4 linked regions of the Caenorhabditis elegans genome follow. The protein of the gene in region 1 purifies or fractionates together with the protein of each later gene. This does not show direct contact. Each region holds a gene or a part of one and is shown in the gene's direction. Other genes may lie near its edges. The genes, in order: gld-1, car-1, cey-4 and cey-2.

Region 1 (5,566 bases):
GATTTTGAAGAAGAACAAGAATGGACGGAGCGGTTAGCGAGTTCCTTATAAGATTTACATATAAAAATTAGTTTCAGGTGCAAATTGGAAGAAGCTGCACGAAGTGCCCTGTTAGAAGAGATTACACGTCTTCGATCTACTTGTGCTGATCTTCGAGCTCGTCTGGAAATGGAGTCACTGAGCAAAGAAGTTATGAAATATGATTCACTCTAGATCGAATGTACTTTTGTAGAATTGTTCTGTTTTGATACTTTATCAATATCACAGCATTCGGTAACGGGGAATTCGAATGTGCTTCTTTTTTATAATATATTTTCACAAAGTACTGTATTTCTTTCAAAATTATTTTTGCATATCAATAGGGCACATTTGCAGAATTAAGTGGAATCAATCAATAATTCTTAGTCTTTTCCTTCCTCAAGTCAATAAATGTGCATATTTTCCATATTCCATATCTACCCCTAACTCACACTCCCCTTCTTTTTGACATTTATATTAGCTTTATCATTCGTTTTTGTTAACTTTAATCACAAAAAATCCGGGCATAATTTCTCTTTACCATCTTCACTTTTCATGTCATTTGTTTTCACTTTTTTTGATAATTTTTTATCATTTGGGTCTTGTTTTTCACAAAATCAAAACTTTTTCACAACTTCTTTTTCAGTAATCCCAGTTTTTCTGTACCGATGTGACCAGATATGTATAAATTTTATTGCATCCAACAATCTCACACAGTTTGATTATTTGAAAAACTGTTCTGATTCAGAAAAATGTTACATTTACACTTTGAAAACTTTTTTCTAAAATTTGAATGCTATTTAATTTTTAAACTTTAAGCATCAACGAACACAATGGCCGATATCTTCAGAAAACCAAAATCAAAAATTCAAAAAAGGAAAATTTTAGAAGACGACGACGTTGCTGCTGATGGTATTTAATTTTTAATCTGATAAAATAATTGTTTTTAAAGCAAATGATAACTTAAGAGCATAACATGCATTAAAATTTTTAATGTTCTAAATTTTTTTTTCCAGAAGAGTCGTCAAGAGTTTCCGATATTCGAGATCTTCAACGATCACGAGAAAGGAAAAATGGTCTCACAGAATTAGAATGCGCAGTTGGAATTTCAAAAGCTGCAGCTCTCGAGGATGGAATTCAAATGGCTGGTGGCGGAATGGTGATGACAAGTAAAAAGAAGGCAGCAATGGAAGCTGCAAGCATTGAACAAGGACTCCGAGAACAATTCGAGAAGGAAACAATGCTGAGAGATGAACATGAAGAATTAAGGAAATATATTGATGACGGACTTCAAGAATATACAGCTGATACTTCTAAAATTGAAAAACAGAAACAACCTTCTTCATCAGCTGCAGCTAAATTTTCATCGCTGAATGCAGAAGATCGTGATGTAGAGCTTTTGAAACAAGCTGCTGGAAAAGTGAAGGGAAATCAAAGCAAAAAGGAGACAGAATTGCTTTCAGAGCATATGCTCGCAGGAATCCCAGAAGTGGACCTGGGAATTAGCACTCGTATCACCAATATCTTGGAGACTGAAAAGAAAAAACGATTCCTTCTTCAAATATCTGCTGCTGAAGCTGCAGGTCTTCCACCACCAATTGAAGAATGTGAAGAATCAAAACCAAAATATCGAAGACGTTTCAACAACCAGCGTCGATAAATTGAGATACACAAGTGTTTTTTATTTATTTTCCTGTTTAAATAAATTCGATTCATTTTATAAAACTCTGAATTGAAAGTATTCAATTAAATTCTGAAAAGCCTCATGCAAATCAGCGCACGGCTTAATAGGCGTGGCCAATTCCTGCCGTTTCGCCACCCGTGCGCGCATTTCTGGAACTTAAAGGAACATGTTGCACCGCGACGTATGGGTCTCGCAGCGATCGCAAACAGGTATACGGTAAAAGTTTCGAAATTTAGGACTTCACCTCAAAACTTTTTAGAGTTTTATTTTTTCGATGCTTTTTGGTTGTTTTATATTTCGTTTCATCTAAAAATTTTAGAAATAATTATTTCTATTTGAATATGACCACTTTCACATTTTCCTCGAATGTTTCATTCCGAAATTCTAGTGAATATTCGTTAGATAAGCTAGATGAGCGAATCGCCGCAGAGTTTAAGCTTATGTCGTTACGTTATTGAAAAATATATTATTACTAAGTTTTCTTACAGGTTAACCATCGAAGAATGCCGTCGTGCACCACTCCAACTTACGGTGTTTCGACCCAACTAGAAAGCCAAAGCTCTGAATCGCCATCTCGTTCGTCCGTTATGACGCCAACGTCTCTGGATGGAGACAATAGTCCACGGAAGAGATTCCCCATCATCGACAATGTTCCAGCGGATCGTTGGCCGTCAACTCGGCGAGACGGATGGGTACGCGAATTTTCATTTTGTTCATCAATTACAGTAATAAAAAATTTTCAGAGCTCTGTTAGAGCGCCACCACCAGCTCGTCTGACGCTATCGACGAACAACAGACACATCATGTCCCCGATTTCGAGCGCTTACAGTCAAACACCTAATTCGCTTTTGTCGCCAGCCATGTTCAATCCAAAGAGCAGAAGTATCTTTTCCCCGACTCTTCCTGCAACTCCAATGAGTTATGGAAAATCATCGATGGACAAGAGTATGAAACAATCTCATGTCTACTTATTTTTCTGTAATTTCTTCAGGCCTGTTCTCTCCAACAGCTACAGAACCAATCGAGGTTGAGGCAACTGTCGAGTACTTGGCTGATCTGGTTAAAGAGAAGAAACATCTTACGCTCTTTCCTCATATGTTCAGCAATGTTGAACGTTTGTTGGATGATGGTACATAACCGCTCTGTGTTCCTACAAGTAATTATTTTATTTTAGAAATCGGTCGTGTCCGCGTGGCTTTGTTCCAAACTGAGTTTCCGAGAGTTGAGCTTCCTGAGCCTGCTGGAGACATGATTTCGATCACTGAGAAGATTTATGTTCCAAAGAACGAATACCCAGACGTAATTTAACGAATTTCAAGTTTTCGAACAACTAAAACATTTCAGTATAACTTCGTCGGTAGAATTCTCGGCCCACGTGGGATGACCGCCAAGCAGCTTGAGCAGGACACTGGATGCAAGATTATGGTCCGAGGAAAGGGATCAATGCGGGACAAGTCAAAGGTTTGATCTTGTTACAATTTTATCTAAAACAAAGTTTAGTTGTTGAAGGAAAGTGCTCACCGTGGAAAGGCCAATTGGGAGCATCTCGAAGACGATCTGCACGTTCTTGTGCAATGCGAAGACACTGAGAATCGTGTTCACATCAAATTGCAAGCAGCACTCGAACAGGTCAAGAAGTTGCTCATTCCGGCTGTGAGTTATATGCTTCGTAAAATCTCTACAATAACCTATTTTCAGCCCGAGGGAACTGACGAGCTGAAGAGAAAACAACTTATGGAACTTGCAATCATCAACGGTACGTATCGTCCAATGAAGTCGCCAAACCCAGCTCGTGTGATGACTGCAGTTCCTCTGCTCTCTCCAACTCCACTACGTAGTTCAGGTCCAGTTTTGATGTCGCCAACTCCTGGATCAGGACTCCCGTCAACGACATTTGGAGGATCGATCTTGGTAGAACAGTTCTTCAGTTTAAGTTTCATATTTTTAATTTCAGAGCCCCACTCTCACTGCATCCAACCTTCTCGGATCTAACGTCTTCGATTACTCGCTTCTGAGCCCGAGCATGTTTGATTCATTCAGCTCTCTTCAACTTGCAAGTGATTTGACGTTCCCGAAGTACCCAACAACCACTTCGTTTGTCAACTCATTCCCTGGTCTTTTCACTTCTGCATCTTCTTTTGCCAATCAAACAAACACCAATGTGTCCCCGAGTGGAGCAAGTCCCTCGGCTTCTTCAGTCAACAACACCTCTTTCTAAAAAGTTCACATTTATAACTCACACTCCCTTTGTTTTGTTCGTTCTCACCATTTTAGGTTACCATAGAATCATGTGCCATACATCATGTTGCCATTTTTTCCCCCTCTCATCTCCCCCATCTTTATCATGTCATCAATTGGTATCTACCATCTCACTCCTTTAGGAATAGCATACACATACAGTTAGTAATAATTATGTAATGAGATACCTAATACCATTAATTCCTTTCTGTAATTTAAACTCGCCCTGCTGCTTTCACCATATGCTCTTTGATTTTTAAGTATCTTTTCCCTTTCTTCGCAGATCTTGAAAAGATATTTTAACATCAGAGAAAAACGGCAGGTGCCCCGGTAATAACATCTTATCAGGATAACCATTTTGGAGAATACTCATTGATACTTTTATTGATGCAGCTATTCCCCTACCCATTCATACTACCTCGAATGCCAAAGCACCCCCTTTATTTTTCTGTGTTATCTTAACGCTAACCCCTGTAGAATCTTCCCGGTTTGATGTAGTCATCAAAAATTTTTCATCTTTTCTAAATTTTTAGTAACTTGAGATTTTAATTTTCTTTCCCGCTAGTTAGATATGTTCAAATCTCACATCCCCATCAAACCAGCCCCAAGTCCCCATTCTAAACCCCTACCCCTTCCCAATCTGTCCATTATAATTTTAAGCACAAGTCCAAGAGCTAATATTTTTAGCAGTCTTTCACATTGACCATTTTCTCGGTACCCTGTTTTTGAGACCAAAATTTTGAATTTTGAAATTGAAATACAGGGCGAGATAAAATAATAAAAAATAGTTTTTATTCAATTTTTCTTCCAGTTCATGTTTTAAAACGATTAAAAAGGAAACATTAGTTAGAAACATTTTCATTTCTTCAAATGTTTCACGTGAGCAGGGATTCAAACTGTTTCCAATCCGAAGAGGATTTTGATGATAATCCAAGAGTTGATGGAGTTATCGAATTACTCAGTATGTGATGTTCTGTAAAAAAAATCGCCAGTTAAAATTATCAGAACTTTTCGTATGGCCTGCAGCTGCAATTATGTTAATTTTCCTTTTACTCCTGGTGAACAATTCGGTTAACATTGAGAAACAAAAAAACGTCCGGAGGCGTCATTTAATGGTATTTGTTATCGGTTATTTTATCAGGATCGTCTAAATAATAATATTTCAGAGCACAGTTCAAAATTGGCATATGCACGATGATTTTATTGCAGGACTTAAAGGAATTAGAAAAGAGGAAGAATGTAAAAGAATGATGTTTTCTGAAAAGTGTGAATATAGTAAACCGGTGGTCAATGCGTTGAATGAATATAAAAAAGAGAGAATTGAAGAAGTAAAGAGAAAAACTTTCGAAAAATCTTCAAAGAAAAATGCAGAAATTGCTAAAGTGGAGGTTCGAATATTTTCACAACTAAAAATTATTTTCTAGGAACGATTTGGCCCGGTTAAAACATTGAAAATGGGTGGAGTATTTCCCAAAAATAAGGCGAATAGTGTATTCTGGAGTCCTGCAGATATTGTTGCATTCAATTTAATGTTTAGAAAAGCTCGAAAAACTCAAAAACTTGCAGATGGTGTGAAGATTGCTTCTATTGATGAAATTTACTCTTGAACTATTATTATCGAAAAAA
Region 2 (4,515 bases), 5.2 Mb from region 1:
TCTCTCCGGAAGCCTTACCTACAAAAACGCCGTGGCCCGACTCGAATCGGCTCTCTACGTGGATTTTTCTGAACATTTGCAATTTTAAAAGTGTCTGTGGAAATGGAAATATCATTCTAATTATTGATTATTGCTTTAAAATTCCCCCGTTTTTCTCCTAATATCATTTTTTTTCGTGTACATATCTCGTGGAAATTGTGGAAATTCTCCATTTTCACCAATTTTCCGCTTCAAAAATCCCACCCTTTCCCCCTCCCCGCCTGTGATACAAAAATCGATTCATTTCTTTCTTTCCCCGGATTTCTTTTTTTTTGTTCCAGATTTTATTTATTCTTCCGCTGCTACTGGGTAGGCAACATTTTTATTTCCAACTTTTTTCGACTTTTTTTTGTTCCAATTCCGAGTGTTTCCCTGATTATCGATCGAAATCCCCCAGATATACGATTTATTGCAATTTCTTTAATTTTTTCTGCGTTCCTTCTCTTCTCCCCGTCACTGCTTTCGTATTATTATTACTGTTCCTATACATGATGAAATAAATATACACGTTTGATTGGGTTCTTTGCTTCCTTTTTTGGAAGTTTTTAGAACAACTGGCAAGAAAATGGCGAAGAATGTGCGAAATTTCGGATTCAAGTGGGCGAAAATTCGAAAATTTCGAATTTTTTGACAAAAGTCGAGAGTTCCGGAGTCATATGGCAGCCAATTAGGCGAAAAGTTCAATATTTTGCGGGAAATTCCCAAAAGCCGAATCCACAGGCCCAGCTTAGCGATACGATGATAATTCTCAAGTTTTTAACACATTCTTCCTGGAAAATAGATTTATACACGTATTATATTATAGAGAAAGCTGAAATCCTAAAAAGAAAGTAACAAAAAATATGAAAATTTTCGAATTATTCGCTCAAAGATCGCCCTTCCTTCCTCGGAATCTCGATCTCATGTCCACCAGTGATCGCTTGCAGTCGGTGAAATTTTGGAGAACGGCGAAACATTTGTCGGGTACACTTCCGTCGCCACGTGCATCGATGCATTCCTTCGCAGATCGAGCTTGAACTTGCACACAATGCGAGTTTTTGATGCATTTTTTGAGTGCTTGACGTAGACGATCACACGATACACCGGTCTTCTTTATCTCGTTGAATTCGTCTTCTTCAAATTGTTGGGATTGGGAGTGTGCGGTGATTCCGGCCATTTTTCGCGGGAGTTTGCCTGAAAAATCGAATAAAAATTGATTTTAGAAGATATAACTAGTTTTAAACAATAAAATTTAAGTAAATTTCAGTCTTTTTCACAATTTTATCACAAAAAAACGAGAAAATTCAATAAATTCGCACAAAAATTGATTTTATTTCATTTAAATTTTGAAAAATAATTAGTGTCGATTTACGGAGTTGGCACGGTGCCAAGATTTGCAGAATCGTGGCGAGACCCACAAAAACCTATAGCAAAACATGCGCCTTTAAATGGGATTGGGGTGCAGCGCCATTTTAGGATTTTTGTTGTTTTCTTCGCAAAATTGTTGATTTTTCGTTATTTTTTTTGATTTTCTAGGGAAATTTTCAATGTTTTATTGCTAAAATAATTATTTTTGACGTGATGAACTTAAAGTTACAGCTTAGAATCATTAAATTTTGCGAATTTTGATAGAAACTTCCCATTTTTTGTGATTTTCAAGTTTGAGCTTACCTTTTATTTCTTCTGCCGATTTTTAGCTGTTTGAGAAGTTCAATTAGTGAGTTTTCGGTTCTTAATACTCAAAATTATTTTTACTGCAATGGTACGGCCGTGGCTGCGCAGTACCTCATAAAATAAGTGGGCAGACGGATGCAATCACGCTCCATCGGCGCAGAATCGATAACGATGACGGCTTCGCATTTTACTTTTAAACTTTTGCAGCTTTTCCCACTTCTTATAAGAAATTAGGGCTTTAAACTGTCAGTGTTATCCTTGTATATTATCGTTGATGTTCCTCTAAGACTTATTGACACCTCCGTATCGATTTTAGGCCAATTAGGTTAATTTCTAAGGTTTCTCGACACAATTGAGATCGCTTCGACATTTTTCGTAGTATTCCGCAAGATTTTGTTTTAGGATTGATAGAAGCGCACATTTACACGGTTTCAGTTGTTAATTTATTCTCCTATTCCCGACAATATTGCTCTTCGTCTTTCTTCAAACGTTGTGAAACTTAAATTATATTACATTTTTGCAGGTAATAATGTCGAATCAAACACCGTACATCGGAAGCAAGATTAGTCTGATCTCCAAGCTCGACATCCGTTACGAGGGAATCCTCTACACCGTCGACACCAACGACTCTACCATCGCGTTGGCCAAGGTTCGCTCGTTCGGAACCGAGAAGCGTCCAACTGCTAATCCGGTCGCCGCTCGTGATGATGTCTACGAGTACATCATCTTCAAGGCCAGCGACATCAAGGATTTGATCGTTTGTGATACTCCGAAGGCGAGTTGCCGGATAATCGAGCTTCATTGATCTAAATAATGTCTTTTCAGATGGCCAACATTGGAGGAGGGCTTCCATACGATCCAGCCATCATCTCTGTCTCCTCGAGATCAGCCCCAGCAAGTGACGGAGCTCCAGCTGCCTCTGCAGGTTCTTCCAGAGCCGGAACGCCATCCCGTAACAGTCCGTTAGGCCAAATCATCCAAAATCAACGTCCAGGACGTGGAGGTTATCAGCAAAGTCAGTTTTATTTTCTTTCAAATCAACTCTGGATTTATGATCATGTTTTCAGACTTCCAAGCTAACCGTGGATACAACAACTACCGCGGAGGATTCGCTGGCGGATACAACAACCAAAGAGGGCACAACAATTATGGAGTTCCTCGAGTTAATCACCGCGAAAAGCTGAAGTTCGAATCGGACTTTGACTTCGAGAAGGCCAATGAGAAGTTCCAAGAAGTTCTCGTCGACAACCTTGAGAAGCTCAACATTGAGGATAAGGCCGAGCCAGAAGTTGAGGAGAAGAAGGATGCTGCCTTCTACGACAAGAAGACTTCATTCTTTGACAACATCAGCTGTGAATCACTGGAGAAAGCCGAAGGAAAGACTGGACGGCCAGATTGGAAGAAGGAGAGAGAAACGAATCAGGAGACGTTCGGACACAACGCAGTGCGTTCGTTGAACTACCGTCGTGGATTCGGAGGACGAGGACGTGGTGGAAACCGCGGATATGGAGGTATAGTTCCACTTTAGAAGTTACAACGTCTTATGCTCAATTTTCAGGTTACAACAACGGATACCAGCATCAACACCAGCACCGTGGAGGATACAATGGAGGTTATCGTCAGAACAACGGTGGATACCGTCGTGGTGGATATGCTCCACGTGACAACCAAGGCAATACTGCCGCAGCTGCCGAACAATAAGTTCGAATTCCCTGAAATTGTTTTCTCCCCACATCCCCATACCCCGATATTAGCCGTTTGTTAATTTATTATGTAAGTTTATCCATTCTCCCCCCCCCCCCATCAATGATTACCCTTGTCTCTTCTCAACTATTGGCGTGTTATAAGAAACCCGTTAATTATTTAGAAATCTCGTACGATTCAATGCGGGCCTTCTGTTATTTTGTAATAATTATTGCGCACCCACCCACCGACACACATCTCCCATCCAAAAAATTCCCAATGTTTTTTCTTCCCCCACTACAATAGTGATTGGACCCTTCCCCCGTTTTTTTAAGTTCTAGCTTGTGAATTTTAAAGCATGTCGTTCTGTTGTCCTCAGTTTGTCATTTTAATAAAATTGCAGTGACTAAACTGTCAAATCGTTTGCACCTGCTCTCCTATCATCCCACACCCCGCCTTTTATGATTGTCTTCTAGGAGATATGAAATTGTTTTTAAGATCTTCTCTTAGATTTGCTATAATATTGCAAACCCTTCATTCTTAGGTAGACAAGCCCTGAGAAATTGTGATTTCCCCGTATAAACTTTTTGTTTTGTATCATTGCTTCGATGTTTTCTTTCTACAACTTGGAAGCCAGTTGGACATGTAAGGTGTCAAAAAATATTGGTATAAGTTTGCTGTAATTTCAAAAAGTTCGATAGTTGTTCTGGCGACTAAATACGTAAAGAATAGCTAACAAATGTTACTTTATAAAAACTATTCAGCGAAACTGATTGAAGTGAACACATTAAAGAAATAAATTAAACATTAAAAGAGAAAATACATAATAAAATTATTCCTTGGTGATCTCGAACTTCCAGGGGCTAAAGTCGATTTTGACGCTATGCCCTTTGAAGAGACAGCGAATAGTTCCCTTAACTCCTCCATCTCGGGAAATTTCGAATCCAGAGGCATTCGGATCGAAAACTCTCGCAGCGTCCAAACTCATACCCATGCAGAATTCCCATTTTTTGAAATTTGTGGACTTCATGAGGCACTGAAAAGTTATTTGAACTAGTTACAAGCAGTGTAGGTGGAATAACTTACATTTTTGATTTCAACAGCCTTTCCAACAGTAACCAATTTGGCATAGCGATGATA
Region 3 (4,574 bases), on another chromosome or scaffold:
TTGAATCGAGAAAATCCATTTCTCCGGGTTTCTACTTTAAAATTTGATTTATTCTCTACAAATTGTGAAATATTTCACATTATTGAAGTAAGTTCTGAAGAATTTAACATTCAAAAAAGTTAGTTTAAGCCAAATTTGGTCAAAATTTTAAGCTTTTTTAGATTGAATAATTTAAAGTAAGTTTCTACATTTTTCGAACATTTTTTAGTTTTTGAGTTATTAACAAAAAAAATCGTTTTTTCACTTTAAAACTATTTTCCACGTTTAAATTTCAGGCGTTATATTGATTTCCACCTATTTTTGCCCAAAAAATCGGCTTAAAACGGTAAAAAAATGATCATTTTCAACAAGAATAATTCAAAACTTAAAGAAAATGTTTAAAAAATAATTACCATAAACCTTTTTCGCTGCGAGACCCATCTTGAAAAACACGTGCGCCTTTAAAAGGTCTTCGAAAGTTTTTGGGATTTTTAGCTTAAAATGTGAATTTTCAGCCGCTTTTTTCGATTTTTGAGCATTTTTTTTTTCTCATTTTCATTCAAAAATCCATTTAATACTTACTTTACACATGTAAAATGAGCGTATCCCCCGGCTTTTATTTGAGTTTCGATTAGCATTTGAATTGCAAGCGGGAAATTTCCTTCTTCAATAGTTTCTCGAATGTGCTGTTCGGTCTCGTGGAAGCCTTTTATCGTTGTGAGCGTCATTTTCAGCTGATTTAGAACGATTTTCTTATTTTTATAAGCGATTAATCCGAGACACGTCCGAGTTTGGCTTGTCGCCAGCGCGAGCGCTTTTCGTATCGTCAGAATTTCGTTGATAACACTTCCGACTTCGTCTCGGATTTTCTCCATTTCACCGACCTGTGCCGTGTAGGATGAAGATTTTTGCATGATTAGTGTGGATATTTTCTTGGAAACCACAGTATGCTGAGATTTTAGCCGAAACCTCTCGCGCTGGATGTCCTCGTAGCACATTTCGATGTCACAGAGCTTCTAAAAGTTAAAATTTTCGTTTTACTTGGTTTTTTGTTCCACTAAACCTTCAATTCATAGTCAATCGCATCGAACTCATCGTTATCTATAAAATACGCGGCGTCTATCGAGTTGATGACGTCATCTTCCTCGGAAATTTTTGATTTTACTCTCCGAGGCGTTGAGTTTTGTGAATTACTCTCTGGAGCTATTGGAGGGCTTTCCGAGCACGACGGAGCATCGTAAGAGCTCATAACTTTCTCGTTCATATTATCTAATAAAACCTGAAAAGTCGATTTAATATTTGACATTTTCCTTGAAAAAATTCCCACTTTTACATCGCTATCCGAAGAAAATTGTTCGCCTATTTGATTAACAGTTTTTGCTAGTTGTTCCTTAAATCGGTCCATTTCTCGCCAAGCTTTCACCTCTGAAATTGTTAATTTGTTAGTATTTTAATTTAAAAAACCAGCGGAAGCAAGCAAAATTAATTTAAATTTCAAGTAGCAGTATCGATTTTTCTGTAAATCCTGTGAAAAACCACTCGAAAATCTAATTATTCCAATCGATTTTTCCCAAAGAGGAAGCTAAAAGCGGATAAGAAAGAGTAAATCCGAGAAAAAGTGTGCCAGGGTGTTGCGTTTCCTTGCAATGCGCGCGCGTTTCTCTATTGCGAGCACAGCACCATTTTTCAAATAAGACGTTTTCTCCCTTCTTGGCAGTCGATTTTTATTAGTTCTTTCTTATTTTTTGGTGAAAAATTGAAAATTGCCGTCGTTTCTTCGGTTTTTTGGCGTTAAATTGAATATTAAACAGAAAAATTGTGATAATATGAGGAAATATCCTAAAATTCTCGATATATTTCGAAATTGTAAGAGCTTTTTTGCAATATTTCCCCGATTTTTTCCATTAAGTTCGTTCCGATTTCCAATAAATTTGAAAAAAAAACAACGGCGCTTAGCACTTTTTAATCGGATGATAACATTTCCGCCCCATGTCAATTTGACTTATCGATCGTTCTGTCGTGTCATTTTCCACCACACCCTTTGTGTGGCACATTTGCATTCGATGTTTATATTTAATTTTTTTTTTTTGCAGAGTGTAGTTGAGTACAATCAGCTCAGAGGATTTTCCTCACCCCCTTGACACCATCAAAAACTAAGGCCAACGCCGTGAAACATCATGTCGACTGAACAAGCTAACGGAACAACTATTGAGGAGAAGAAGGACAAAGGTGAGTAGGACAGGTGGTCTTCAATATTTAATCCCTCAAATTGCAGTTGCCGAGGTGACCGAGAAATTGGACAACCTGGCCGTCGACACTACCAACGAGGCGAACGATGCAAAGCAGCCAGCACGTCGTGGCGGATTCCGCGGACGAGGACGTGGTCGTGGTCGCGGAGGACACTTCTACCAACCAAGACCACCATATGAGGATCAGATGAAGAAGCTCGAGGAGGATCTTGCATCGAAGAAGGTCATCGAGACCGGTGTCAAAGGACACGTCAAATGGTTCTCCGTTCGTGGACGCTACGGATTCGTTGCTCGTGATAAGCCAACCGACGAGAATGAGGACTTCTTCGTCCATCAGACCGCCATCACCAAGTCAAGCACCATTAAGTTCTATCTCAGAACTCTCGATGACGATGAGCCAGTCGTCTTTGACATTGTCGAAGGACTCAAAGGACCAGAAGCCGCCAACGTGACTGGACCAGATGGGGAGAATGTTCGTGGATCGAGATTCGCTCGTACTTTGCTCACCCATTGGAGAACAAGAGGACGTGGTGGTGCACGAGGACGCGGTGGACGAGGACGTGGTGCTCCACGTCAGACACGTGACCAGGACGGAGATGAGAAAGATGAGAAGGAGAAGTCGGACACCATTGAGAATAGGTTAGTCTAGCTTTTAGTAACGGTTCTGGTGTTTTTAGGCTCAAAATGCGCTCAAATAAACCGATTTATTTAAAAAAAAAAATGAAAAATGGGCTGAAATTAAGTAAAATCTCAAAGTGGCCGCCGAAAGTTGATATTTTCGGTATCATCTGCTTTTATTGCATATTTTAGTCGTTTATCTCATATTAGTTCGTTGATTTTTGGCATTTTTGGTTACCTATTGGTGTAAAAACTACTTTAATCAACGAAATAATGTGAGATAAACGAGCAAAATATGCAATAAAGGTAGATAATTCCGAAAAAAAAAATCATTTTTGGACAGAAAGTGGCCAAATTGGACGTTAGCCCATTTTTTCAAATTTTAAAGAAGTTTTATTATGCAATTTGCACATTTTGGGTCTATACCAGGGGTGTGCGGCAAATCTCAAAATTTGCCGAGCTCGGCAAATTCGGCAAATTTGCCGCACACCCCTGGTCTATACGTTCCATTTAAAACTGGAATTTTAACTCTAAAATTACAATTTTTCAGCGGAGACGGAGAAACTCGCGGAAAGCGTCGCACTCGCCGCCACGGAAAGCTCCAGCCAGATGCTCCATCCGGCGAGAAGGGAGACGGTGATGCTGCCGCTGCCACTACCGATGCTGCTCCAGCCGCCGAGAAGAAGAAGAAACGTCAGCGCAAGGGAAATAAAGAGCCCACCACCACCACTGAGCAGAAGGAAGAGACCGCTGCTCCAGCTAAAGCTTAGGCTTCTAGCTGTTGACACCTACCATCAACTTTTGTTATCTAATTAAACACCTTTTGTATTGAGAACAGTCCCATTTCTTGAATTGTATAGCTGATCCTTTCGAAAAGCCCAAAATTTCCAAAATTTGTTCTGCACGATTTATATCCACTCAGTTCTTTGGAATTCAATTTCGAGAACTTTTTGAGTTTATATTAAGTAAAAGTTTCAATGCAAATGATTCTGTTCATTGTTTTATAGAAATCAAATTCAAACTACCAGTAAGCAATAAAAATATGTAATAAATAATTAGGAATTTAGGAAAGCTCGAATCCAGTCCCAGCGTGGATCGCGTAACGAAGTTTCTCGAGCAGCAGTGACTTCTTATTGTAATTCGGAAGCTTTAGCAAGTTAAAGCAGGTGGACGCAGTTGGAAGTCGAGTAGCTGCAGTTCCCTTTCTCAAAGCCAAGAATCCACGAACCACACTTCCCAAGGTGTCTCCCTGATCCTGATCGTCGGAAACTTCAACGCATCGAATGGAGAAGGGCGGCTCGAGATACGAAAATCCAAGAACAGGAGGTCTCGAGCAAGAAGTGACAAACTTTAGGAACAGTTTCCTCTCTTCTGAAGTGAACTTGTTCTCAAGAATATCCCAAAGCCATTTAATAAGCCGATGGTTTCCATGGAATCCTCCGAAATATTGCACATTGCGCTTCAGATCCGCCAGATCGATGTCTCTGGAATATTAATTCTCGAAATTTCAAATTAATGGTATATATTATGCTCACGAATTGACTCCACTAATCAGACATTGCAAATCATTCGGAGCGAACAGTGACAGCCACGTCGGCTGAAGGATCGATTGCATTCCGGTGACGAACGCCTTGCACTGTTCCTGGGTTCGTCGGAATACTCGGTGATGAGCCATTCGGTGCACATAGTCGATTCTGAAAATGGGGGCAAATTATTTAAATTAGAATT
Region 4 (4,274 bases), 2.1 Mb from region 1:
ATCACACTGCGGGCGTACTTGAACTTGTCAATGTCAAATACTGCAGTTTCCATTCCTCCGTGGTCATTTGCCAACAATGATATATCTTGTCCTTTGTTTTTTGGAGCTGTCAATGCTTTTGTTACTAAACGATAGTCGTTTGTTCTGATGTTAAAACTTCGGACGGCGATATTTGTTTTTACTTCAGCCATTCCTTCTTCCCAGATGCTTGATAATCCTTCGAAACATGGCTGAAAATTAATTGAATTTTTGTTAGCTGATACTACAGCTGATAAGCCATGGTTTAAACCAATCTATCTCTACCACAACTTACAATTTCGATGACAATACTCTTAATTTTTGAGAATCTCCAAATACGTAAAAACGCTCGCATAGCTTCTGCAGTATGATCGGGGCATTCAGTTTGACGTCTGAACATTTATTAAGACTTTGAATTTTCTCTTTTAATTTGAAGTTTTGAACAAAGAATACTCACAGTGAGGTTCCTCGAAACTCCACCATTCTGCTCACAACTCTTCCAATCTCATTTTTCCATTTCATTATCAGAATAGTTTTCTGAAAATAACTGGGTTGAATAAACAAAGTAATTCAATTAAAACTAACAGCTGTAGAGGGAAGCTCCGTAATTCCGAGTTCGTGAAGCTTATTTGGAAGAGTTGAGCATATCTGAGAGTTTTCCCAGCTGACCAACATCATGTTTTGTTTATCCTGCAAACGGATTTTTTCTTTATCTAACTGATTTGATGGAAATTTGAGCAAAATGATTTCGCAACACTTACTGGGAATGGTAGTCGAGTGAGAATATTTCTGCGTATTTCTCGTGGCAAGTGCTTCCATCCAGCCTCTTCTTCTATAATTTGGCAATTTCAGATTTATCTTCATTATTAAGCATTAACTAACCCTCGAAATCCATTATTTCTTCCAGTGCCATTTTGAGTAGAATGGAACAGCGGAAAGAGAAGAAAATCGGCAGAAAAAACGGGAACCTCACGCCCAGAGGCAAGAGACCCAGAGATGTAAAGAGAGGCCGTTTGAGAAAGAATATCAATGGCGCAGGTCGATCAGAGACATGAAAATAACACAATATAAAATGAGGATGCACAGAAAAGACGTGGAGGATAGAAAATGAAGTTGGAGAGAATGGACGATTTGAAAATCAATTTTTTGAGAGTACTGTGCGAGTATTATGACGTCAATTTCTGGAAAGGGCAGAGTACATTAGTTTTTAGAAAGCATGAACAACATCACGGAGAACATTAACTAAAGTCACCATTAAAAAAACAAAATTGGAAATAGAAATTCCGAATTCGTTTGAACATTTATAATGAACACTCGTTGTACTAATTGGAGGCAGGATTAAACACATTTAGATTGTCACACGGGGCCTAAAGCGTTTTTATATTCTTAAAGTAATCTCTTAATGTATAAAAAAGAGACATTTCCCTTAAATTGGAAAGTTAAGGAGTGTCACAATAGGAAACAACTGGAAAACAATTGAGAAAATCTAAACTTTAGAACTTAATTCCATTTTTTCTATCTCAATTCCGTAACTTTCAAAAAATCATAATACGCTTTACGAGGGAATGTTAAATAATGAAATATTTTAGAATTTCAGTGATTATTATAAACTATTTAATACCAACAATACTATCCATATCAATCAGTTAAACAATCGTTTAAAAATTCAAGACAGTGATGACAAAATGATAGAAAATAGTAAAATAGCATATTGCAAAACAATCTGATACAAATTTGACGAAAAGAATCCAAAAATTGTTTAGGAATTTCCTAACCATGCATTGCGTTTGAAACACCGCGCGAAGTTAGATGTGCAGGTTACCGGGTTACTGTAGTACGGGACCCATTAGCTTCGCAGATGCGCGGCCCAAAACATTCATTTCGATTTTGCAGCTTGAAGTTCACGCGCCGTGAGCTGTTTTTCTCATTTCTAAATTTTTTTGCTGCTGATTTTCGACTTTAGTTTTGGTTACGTTTTTGAGCATGAGCACATAGCTTCTGTTAAATATTCTTTTTAATCTTTACCCAATTTTTGTTTAATGACTTATTAAAAGTTACCCTCTTACAGTCAACCTCACTTGCTTCAACCAAATTTACGACTATGTCGGACACCGCAAACGCCGCTGTCGAAATCGGAGAGGAAGCTCTCGAGCAGAAGCTCGAAGAGCTCTCTGTTCAAGATAAGACAACGCCAAGCAACAGCGAAGAGAAGATGCGTAAAAGAGTATGTTACACATTTAAATTAATTTAGTAATTACTTAATTTAGCGTCTGCCGACTGCTGAGCGCATCCGTCTGTGGGAAGAAGAGCAGAAGTCGAAGACAGCCATTACCACCGGACTTCAAGGAAAAGTGAAATGGTATTCTGTTCTCCGTCGCTATGGCTTCATTTCTCGCAACGATGGCGAAAAGGACATCTTTGTTCACCAGACAGCCATTGCCAAGTCAGCCACTGAAAAGTTCTACCTCCGTACCCTCGGGGACGATGAAGAGGTTCTCTTCGATCTCGTCGAGGGAAAGAATGGCCCAGAAGCTGCTAACGTAACAGGACCCAACGGAGACAATGTCATTGGATCGAGGTGAGGGTTTATATTGACCATGGAAGTTTTTAAATCCTATTTTACAGATACCGCCACAAGCTTCTCTCTCGCTTCCGCAAGAACCGCAAGCCCAGAGCTTCTGTCGATGGAGAGGAATCCCAGTCGACCGATGCCAAGCCACAGGAGATGTCGGCGGATGCTGAGAAGAAAAAGCCAAGAAAGCAACGCAAGAACAGAAATCGCAAGTCGAAGGCCCAACAGAAAGGAGCTGGTGATGCCGCTGATTCATCGGCTGTCACTGAATCTTCCGAATCTGCTTCTGACGTTGCTTCTCCAGACTCCAAATCTTGTTCCAAGATCATCACAGAGGAAGCTGGACTTTCCAAGGTTGACCGTTGCGACTCTGCACTTGGAGAAGCCGGCCTAGGAGCCCAGCCAATCGATGCTCAGATTTAAGATCCATTAATGCTTATTTCTCAAATTTGTACCTTTGTACATATACATAGTACACTTTATCATATTCCCAATTTATGCATGCTATTGTAAGTCCCTATCCCTCTTGTTCTTCAATGCCACATTGCCTCAGCTTGTAATGAGAAAACCTCTCAATAAAACCGTTTACCGGTAAATTGAATGTTTATTTCATAACAATGACTCATCATATCAGCTTCTCAAATCTTATCAGTGAGATATCTCTGATGAAAATAGGTCACCAATTCTTATTCGGCATATTGATTAGTTTCGTACAATGATTCGCATAGGACGACTGTTTTTATTCTGTTCTTTTATTTTGCACATTGCGGCAGAAAGGTGAACGAATCATGAGCAATAGTGAGAAATACAATTTCGTCTATTCAGATGTCCGCCTGTTTTCGGTGAGTATGAGTGCCCAGTTGGATTTACTTGTGAAGAGAAGCAATGCTTTGGTAGGAACAAATCCCCATCTACATTCTGTTCATTCGAGGTTTTCAAGTTTTGATGAATATTTTCAAAACGTTTAGTTTAGGTAGAATGTCGAGAGGGATTCGTTTGTTCTGAAGGAAAATGTTATCCAATCACTTCAGTGAAATGCAATCGGTACAGTTAATTTCTGAATAAGGAATGATAACAACTTGTCAGAGCAAATAAAACACAATTTTCAGACACGTATTGGTAGCTGAAGGTTCAGCTCGAAGCATAGTCTCCGATTGTGGAAAACATGGAAAATGCGTCAACGGGCAGTGCATTTTGAATAGTGGGTATTTTTATAAATTAGTTTTAAAAACTAGTTTTCTCGTACATATTACAGGAACACGAAATTCTGAGAATGCGTATTGCGCAACATATTTGACGCGCAAAATATCTCGTAGCGAAAACTACAGTAATGCTTCAAATGACTACTGTAGCGCTGGTGTCGATTTACGGAAAAGGGCAAAAAAGAGGCCCCACGAAAAGGGGAGCAGAACGAAAAGGGGATCTGCAAAAAGGGGAGATACGAAAAGGGGAGCAACGAAAAGGGGAGCTGGCACTGTGCCAAACGCACAAAACGCAATTTTCTCACGCAACGCGCGTTGATTTTTGAAATTTTCTTCTAGAAGATACGCTTAACAACACGCGACGCGTAACATCGGAGCATCGTTGTATCGTTTTCTTCGAGAAAAATAGCGTTTGGCACAGTGCCAGCTCCCCTTTTCGTTGCTCCCCTTTTCGTATCTCCCCTTTTCGCAGATCCCCTTTT

What was found.
Region 2: the proteins of gld-1 (region 1) and car-1 purify together in Caenorhabditis elegans (affinity purification with mass spectrometry; 2 studies listed by BioGRID, with this or other methods). This does not show direct contact.
Region 3: the proteins of gld-1 (region 1) and cey-4 purify together in Caenorhabditis elegans (affinity purification with mass spectrometry, with the first as the bait; 2 studies listed by BioGRID). This does not show direct contact.
Region 4: the proteins of gld-1 (region 1) and cey-2 purify together in Caenorhabditis elegans (affinity purification with mass spectrometry, with the first as the bait; 2 studies listed by BioGRID). This does not show direct contact.

The regions. Positions count from the first base shown.
Region 1 is NC_003279.8:7,693,491-7,699,056, forward strand, and holds gld-1 (Female germline-specific tumor suppressor gld-1), read left to right. Parts: upstream 1-2,190; 5' UTR 2,191-2,205; coding exon 2,206-2,394; intron 2,395-2,445; coding exon 2,446-2,647; intron 2,648-2,693; coding exon 2,694-2,831; intron 2,832-2,876; coding exon 2,877-3,001; intron 3,002-3,046; coding exon 3,047-3,163; intron 3,164-3,211; coding exon 3,212-3,355; intron 3,356-3,400; coding exon 3,401-3,613; intron 3,614-3,656; coding exon 3,657-3,920; 3' UTR 3,921-4,732; downstream 4,733-5,566. Other genes in the region: rlbp-1 (Rho-GAP domain-containing protein), read left to right, coding at 1-32, 78-213; T23G11.4 (Hepatocellular carcinoma-associated antigen 59), read left to right, coding at 852-930, 1,035-1,678; T23G11.10 (uncharacterized protein), read left to right, coding at 4,811-4,901, 4,946-5,055, 5,107-5,322, 5,365-5,547. UniProt on the Caenorhabditis elegans protein: RNA-binding protein which recognizes the 5'-UACUCAU-3' RNA consensus sequence. Binds sequences in both the 5'coding and the 3'-UTR region of rme-2 mRNA. Binds sequences in the 3'-UTR region of cye-1 mRNA. Binds to cyb-2.1, cyb-2.2 and cyb-3 mRNA.
Region 2 is NC_003279.8:12,902,255-12,906,769, forward strand, and holds car-1 (Protein LSM14 homolog car-1), read left to right. Parts: upstream 1-2,215; 5' UTR 2,216-2,221; coding exon 2,222-2,467; intron 2,468-2,517; coding exon 2,518-2,707; intron 2,708-2,759; coding exon 2,760-3,203; intron 3,204-3,250; coding exon 3,251-3,393; 3' UTR 3,394-3,786; downstream 3,787-4,515. Other genes in the region: Protein pad-1, read left to right, coding at 1-88; coa-5 (Cytochrome c oxidase assembly factor 5), read right to left, coding at 905-1,195. UniProt on the Caenorhabditis elegans protein: Transcriptional regulator. Involved in modulating embryonic expression of ATP-dependent chaperone cdc-48.1. May play a role in mRNA gene silencing, and RNA granule (P-body) assembly.
Region 3 is NC_003281.10:10,866,202-10,870,775, reverse strand, and holds cey-4 (CSD domain-containing protein), read left to right. Parts: upstream 1-2,072; 5' UTR 2,073-2,156; coding exon 2,157-2,208; intron 2,209-2,254; coding exon 2,255-2,867; intron 2,868-3,396; coding exon 3,397-3,616; 3' UTR 3,617-3,830; downstream 3,831-4,574. Other genes in the region: vps-50 (Vps54_N domain-containing protein), read right to left, coding at 562-995, 1,043-1,258, 1,307-1,384; oxi-1 (Ubiquitin-protein ligase E3B), read right to left, coding at 3,910-4,330, 4,382-4,540.
Region 4 is NC_003279.8:5,617,483-5,621,756, forward strand, and holds cey-2 (CSD domain-containing protein), read left to right. Parts: upstream 1-2,086; 5' UTR 2,087-2,119; coding exon 2,120-2,242; intron 2,243-2,285; coding exon 2,286-2,596; intron 2,597-2,643; coding exon 2,644-3,013; 3' UTR 3,014-3,186; downstream 3,187-4,274. Other genes in the region: xrep-4 (F-box domain-containing protein), read right to left, coding at 1-230, 314-410, 476-555, 604-708, 780-850, 901-931; F46F11.7 (Tenascin), read left to right, coding at 3,306-3,367, 3,416-3,521, 3,564-3,634, 3,700-3,791.